2 linked regions of the Arabidopsis thaliana genome follow. The protein of the gene in region 1 interacts with the protein of each later gene in a pairwise test. Each region holds a gene or a part of one and is shown on either strand. Other genes may lie near its edges.

Region 1 (3,759 bases):
TATGCCATTTTCTAACACTAAAAAAAGTATGTATTTCCGATTTTTTTGGTAAAAATACGTAGTTTATACAAAATATTAAATCCTAAGAACAAGCACAACCGACTAAACCAAAACATAACGAATAAAACACATGTTAAATCATATTTTCGTAGTGTGAAAAAGGCAAAATCTACAAACTATTCAGAAAAGGACAAAATCCACAGATACCATCCCAAAAAATGGCAAATCGATAATTGATTCAAAGAATAATAGTTCTTACTTTAAATTGCTGGGGAAAACAATTATTCTCTATGTATGGGTCCTAAAAGAATTCAATTGAAAATTTCCGTCTAAATATTGTACCAGTCACATCTTAAATTTTCGAAATAAAATTCTACAATTAAAGTTTCCCACACTACGGTGAGCAAATACATTACTTAATAATCTTTTTTTGGGGGCAAAACATTACTTAATAATCAAAATACATAATTAAGTTAAAAAGAGATCCTTTAACCATTATTAATAAACAACATTAGTTTTTGTCTTTCGAAATGAAGAAAACACAAATACAAACAATTGAACACTTAGACTAGTTCTTCTCCCTCTTTTGTGATTAGAGATTATTGTTGATGTAAGGATCATAGACACCGGTGGTGGAAGGCATGTAACTGGTGGAAGCATGATCAACGGCTGGTAGTTGATTGGATGGTAGTTGATGGTAGTTGTAGCAGTTTCCGTCCACGAAAGGAATGCTTTCACGCCCTCCAACATGATTCATATGTTGTTCCACCATCGGATTCATGAATGATTGTTGTTGATTCAGATACTGATTCGAATTCAGATTCAAATTCAGATTCAAATTTATGTTGTAGAATTCTCGTTGAATCTGATTAAACAGATTATTAGGAGCCTGGTATTGAACCTGATTCATATTCTGATTTTGAAAAAAATCACAAACGTTAGTAGGAACAAGGTGTTGAAACGGTTCATGCAGATTTTGACTCATATTCATATTTTCATATGGAATATGATCAAAAAATCTACTGGAAGCAGTTACCGCAGTTGCGTCCGCATCAAGAAAAGGAGTCATATCGCCCGTAAGAACATGAGGATTGGTAGCATTAAGAGTATCTACAACCCCAGTTGTAGCATGAATAGGAGAGTCGGAAAATGACTCATCACCAATTTCGTCAACACCAATTCTAGTAGGAAAAGGAGAGACGGAAGACAACAACGACTCACCATTTTCTTTAATGGACTCGATCCTTCCGTTAAGCTGATCGAGATATAGATTTATACAAGATTGCAAATCTTGAAGGTCTTTTGCATCATAATGATACTGGGACATTTTGCCTTCAACACAATCAAACATAAATCGTCTAACCTGTAACTCTCGGTTCTCAGCAGCCAGGTTCTTTAGTTGCTCTTTTGCTTTGGTAATCCTCTCCATAAGGTAAGTCTCTTGATCCATCATCTTCTTGGTTCGGGCTGTCGGCGGCATCTCCAGAAACCTTGAAGCCACCTTTTTAGCACCTTCCCTTGACGGCCATGACTCTGGAACCGGTATGAATGGACTGTAGATGAGAGCACAAGCTTGGACACCACACAGAGTTGACAACTCGTGGAGTTTCTTAAAAATCCCGTCTTTCCTCTTTATGAAGGATGTTTTCCTTGATCTTTCATTAGCTATCAAAGATAGCTTCACCTTCTTCATCCCCATCAATTTGTTTTTTTTTTTTGTTTTGTGTGGTTTGTTTAATTTGTTTGCTCAAAGGATGTTTATATAGCAAAGAAAGGTGATTCTATAGACACTAGGATTCTTATCACTTTGGTGGACTAATTAATTCTAAATAACATCCAGGAAATCTCTTATCAATTAATTGACCAGGTAATTCATTATTATCTATATAAAAATATTTTTTCTTATCCAAAGTTTGGTACGTCTGATCCTAAATAATATCTGATGACAAAAAAAAGAAAAAAATCTATCCATGTAATACGAGGGGGCATGTAATATAATATTTTGTATTTCTAAGTTTTGTTTTTATTTTGGCGAATTAATTTCTCTTACTCTCATTGTTTCTTTTTACTAAGAATAATTTCTAGCTTACTTTGTTCTTAAAATATGAAGTTTTGCAATAGTTTTAAGTGATTGTACTTTTAAAATACAGTAATATATTGTCAATGTATATAGAATTGTGGTAAGCTAGAAATTACTCTAAAGTTTGTTATCTAAAGTAAATTTCAGAAAGTTTGTTATCTACAGTAATTTAAAGATGTACTCTGAATCATACAAATAAATTTTTAGAATGGGCAAACAACTTGGAAAATATGCAAAGTACATCTCACAGAAACGCCAAAAACTTTGAATAATTGGTATGAATGCCCTTTCAACACAATCCCTTTTCAGTATTGCCCTTTCTTATTTGTTATTTTCATTTATACCCTTTTTTAATTTTTAATGACTATTTACCCCTATTTAAAATATGTTTTAGGTAAAAAAATGAAATATTGATTTTTCCCGCCTATAATATTCTGAAAAAAATTTTCCGCCAAAAAATTTCAAAAAAACATTTTCTGCCATAATATTTGTTTTAAAAAAGATTTTTCCCGCAAAAAACAAATTTCGCAGGAAATAGATTTACAATGGATTTTAATAGATTTTTAAAATGTGTAAAAGGGTTTTAAAATATTTATAAGGGATTTTAAGAGATTTTTATAAAGTGTAAAAGGTTTTAAAAAGATTTACAAAGGATTTTAAAAGATTTTTATAGGGTTTTAAAAGATTTACAAGTGATTTTAAAAGATTTGAAAAGGGTTTTAAAAGATTTACATGTGTTTTTAAAGATTAACAAAGATTTTTAAAATAATTTTCTAGAACTTTAAAATGGTTCAAAAATTATTAAAGGGTTTACATGAGATTTTAAAAGATTTTTAATGGTTTACAAGGGTTTTTAAAACATTTTGTAAGGGGTTCATAAGAGTTTAAAATGGTTCAAAAATTATTAAGGGTTTTTAAAAGATTTTTATATGGTTTTTAAATAGTTTTCAAGGGTTTTAAAGGATTTAACAAGGATTTTTACAACATTTACAAATGTTTTTAAAATCCTTGTAAATCTTTTAAACACTCTTGTAAATCTTTTAAAATTATTGTAAAAGGTTTTAAAATGTAAAACAAAAGGTTTTAAAACGGGTTTTTAAAGTATTTACATATATATTTAAAATTTTTATAAAGATTTTAATAGGTTTTAAAATGATTTACAAGGGTTTTTAACAAATTTACAAAGCTTTTAAAAACCTTTACAAAGATTTTTAAATGCATGTTTTTAGCTGGAAAAACATTTGTTACAGAGAAAAAAAAATGGCGGGAAAAAAATTTGGCGGAAAAAAAAATATTTTGGTAGAATTTTTTTTTGTCAGGGAAAAAATAAATTCGGCGGGAAAATTTCAGTTCATAAATTACATGTTTCTCATTAGATGTGGGTAATTTGTTTGTTTTGCTCAAGAGAAAGAGTATTTTTAAAAATGGACTACATATAAGGGTAAAATCAAGAGTTTAATACATTAATATGACTACATGTATTTATTTATTAATAATGACATATAAAAAATTATTTATGAAAATTATTTTTATTTAGAAAATATATGCATAATTTGGGTAAAATCAAGAGTTTAATACATAAATATGATTTTTGTCTTTTTTTTTATTTGTAAAATTATAATTTATAAAATCATGTGGATATTATATCTTTTGGGGCATTGACCCGATATTATATATTT
Region 2 (3,727 bases), 9.8 Mb from region 1:
AATTCATGGCGATATACAGAATCAGAAAAAAGAGGTACTTGAAGAGAGATTATTCGGACAGAGCTGTTTGTGTTTAAGAGATAGCGAAACAAGAACCCTAAGAAAAGATGCGGCAGTGAGAGAGAGAGGTGCGACTTAAAAACCTAATCTATAAACCCTTCCTGAGTTATTATTCTCTGCGGCGGGTGCTATTTAACTGTGTTCTGGTCCTCTCTTTATCTATCCGTGGGCTACAAACTGGTTAAGCCCATTAACAATAATAAATATCAGCTCTCGTTGGTTAAAGCCCATTAATGAAAAGAATATTCGTTCTTAGTCCATTAAGAGAATAACTGGGTTTCAATACTGAATCCTCTAGGCGAGACACGGTTTTTCTCATTCTAAACCTTTATTGGGTTCAAAGTTTTATGTGCTTCAAAAATCAAAGATATAAATTGATTGCTTAAATGAATTTTCTCTAGCAGAGCCTTTGCTTGTCGACCTTAGACAGCTTCATCTTCTCAAGAGTATCAAACAGAAACATTTACAAGTGATTACACACTTAAGCTCACAACATTTACAACAAAAAAAAATCTAAAATAGATAGGTTATTATTTATTGTCGCGCTACTGTTGATGGATTTTGGTTTTAGTAATTGTTACCTCTTCGATCAAGTTTTGGCTACTTAGCAATATAGAACTCAAATTGAGTTAAGAGATTGTATTAGGGGATATGGTGTAATACTTTAATAAAGCCGTGAATGTCATGTAAGAAATGAAACTAGATTGAAAAATTAACACTCACGGCTTTATTAAAGTGTCTATTTTGTTTATGGATTGAAGATATATGGCTCTGTTTAGTAACTAATTTACATCACGGGAACACTTTTACTTGGTGCCTCAACATTTATAGCAAAACTATTCAACTACAAAACACACAAGATCAAACTTATGAAACCAATAACTCATCAACACGTGTCTCATCACCAACCTCACACTTCACCTGCACCACCTCCGACGTCAGATTCTCTGCTTTTCTCCTTCGTTTCAACTTCCCGTTTTCAGACGACGACGTAGAAGAGGACGACGACGACGACGACGAAGAAGATCTCTTAGACGTGATCCGAACCGGGTCAGGTTCACCGGAATTAACCCTCAACGGAAAATTCAATAAAGCGCGGGAACCACGCATCCTAAAAGCAGCTATATCGTAAGCTAAAGCCGCATCTTCCGCCGTCTCAAACGTCCCTAACCAAACCCTAGCTCCATTCTTCGCCGGATCACGTATCTCCGCCGCGAATTTCCCCCACGGTCTCTGCCTCACTCCTCTGTAATGCTTCGCCTTCACTGCCGTCTCCGTAACCGGTATCGCTTTCTTTGGTTTCTCCTCCATCGCCGTAAAGTTCTCAGTTGGCTCGACTTTAACCGCCGGAAAATCAAAAAGACAGCTCAAGTCCGATGATGACGTGTCAAAATGGAAGGCATCTTTGAGGAGTCCGTACACCAACATGTCCTCTGAATCATTCTCTTTCAATGGCAAACCTCCCCAACTCTCTGTGAAACACGAACTCGGTGTTGACTCATTGAGTCGCAGCTCGTTCTCTCCTCCTCCTCCTAGCAAGTGACGTGTTATCGACTCCAACAAAGCGTAGTCGGATTCTATATTGCACTGTCCGTACATTTTCAGAGAAACTAACTATAGAGTTTTTTTTGTTTTGTTGATTGATTTATCAAATATCTGAACTTTTTTCTATGTGGAAGGTGGTTAAGAGGTTTATATAGAGGGTACGAGGTTCACGAACCTGGAAAAAAAGAAAAAGTTTTTCATGTTTTTCCAAATTTGTTTTAGTTTAGTGGGTAATTAAAAAATATGAAAGTTGTGGATTTTTCGTTACTACGAAGGTTCGTGAATTAAACACGTGCGCTTTATCCACAGATATCACAATGAAGAAGGGTCAAGATGACGTCATGTGGTCATGACATTTCTGGAAGAAAGATGCTGATTTGGTTTTGTCTCTCAACTTGTCCCTTGTTTTGTCGTTCGGTTTTGAATACGATTCCCGGTTTTATTAGGCAAAACTAGTGTTTAATTAGTTTGTTAATCGAAAACCAAGGTCTTAATTCATTATACTTTGTTATATCGACATAAATTTTCAACTAAACTTATATTTCATCGCCTTACACTAGAGTAATAATTTTTGCTTAAGTATACTTTATTAGATAGTATTGGCAAGTATATTATATGTTTAATTACATGAAATCTAAGCTTAGATCTTGTTATGGTGGTGAATGAAAAATCTTAACGAGGTGGGCCATAATTATATGAATGGGGACACTGAAAGTGTCTGCAAAAATCGGGATACATTTCTCCTGGTCACCAACCAATTCATATCATCATCTTTCCCTTTCACCTTTCATTTTTACTAATTTCTAATTTAGAATTTTCCTAATTGCCAATGTCATGTTTATTTTAGTACTTTTTGATACAAGATTTCATGATTAAGAAATTCATTAGTGCCACTTTAGTCAATAAATATGGAGTAGTGAAATCATAGTGATAAAGTTTTCATGCAAAGCTCAATTTACAAACCACAGTTTAATCCATATTTGTTGCATTTCTTTTCTTTCTTTTTTGAAAATATAACAGCCTTAGATCTTTTTGTACACCAATGATTTGGAATTTTGTGGATAATTATTGAATTTCCATCTCTTTCTATTGGCTAAAAGTCAATAACAACAATAAGGCTCAAAGACAAATTAATGGTGGGTCTCTCACGTATGTCCACTTGCAAAAGGGACCTCCTTCACGGAAGCATAGTTTAGTCAATAGTCACTCAAACTCTCTAAAAATTAGTTTACTATATATTTTTAATCTATATTCGATTCCAAGAGTAGTTTTGGTTCAAACACATCATTCTGGTCAGATGGTTATTTCAATTTTGCTGTTTTTGAGTGTATATATGATGTTATGTTTGTAAACAAATGAAACTTTTAATTGATTACAAGAACATGAATAGCTCTAAATATGATTAAAAACGAATTTATTTATTTCTTTGGTAAAAGAATAATGATAATATACTTATGGATCCAATCAGGTTAAGTTCCGTTTTGCAATTAAATACTTTGATTAATTAAATATGAAAGTAGTAGTTGAACTTTCGTTTTTATGTTTGAACTCCGCAGCTAATCCTCAAATTATCTCTTTGGACGTTTCACATACATCCACTTTTGCTGTATCTTAGGAATATATTGTTTTCATATTGTTTCTTGTTTCTTTATGATTTGGGTTTATATAATTTTCAAATGTCATGATGATCATCATTTAATCTTAGTTGTTTTAGTCACATCTTATTATGCTTATTATTAGTCGGTGATAGTTTAATTTTAAGACGTAAATCATCTATTCTCATATTATGCTAGAACAAACTTTTTCTTTGTGCAACCTCCTAGAACATATAGTCGCCTATTATCCATGGATCCCAGATACTCCTCCAAGACCACCGAAAGGTTTAATTATGGATAGGAACCCTTTGGTCTACGTTAACACCTTGATTGACTTCCAGACGAAGAGGTGGAAAGTAGATCGTCTACGGGAGTTGTTCCCCCCCCCCCCCCCCCGAGGATATTACTTTGATTTTAGGGATAAAACCGAGGCTAAATGTCTCGCGAGATGGATATAGTTGGACATTGACTAAGTTCGGTAATTATACTGTCAAGACAAGATATGAAGCTGCGAGAGCCCTCTCTCG

Evidence for each region. The genes of interacting proteins can lie anywhere in the genome.
Region 2: the proteins of AGL36 (region 1) and ERF2 interact in a two-hybrid assay, tested with the Arabidopsis thaliana proteins (one large-scale study listed by BioGRID).

What each region holds. Positions count from the first base shown.
Region 1 is NC_003076.8:9,341,719-9,345,477, reverse strand, and holds AGL36 (AGAMOUS-like 36), read right to left. Parts: upstream 1,694-3,759; coding exon 593-1,693; 3' UTR 467-592; downstream 1-466. UniProt on the Arabidopsis thaliana protein: Probable transcription factor.
Region 2 is NC_003076.8:19,171,096-19,174,822, forward strand, and holds ERF2 (ethylene responsive element binding factor 2), read right to left. Parts: upstream 1,862-3,727; 5' UTR 1,660-1,861; coding exon 928-1,659; 3' UTR 548-927; downstream 1-547.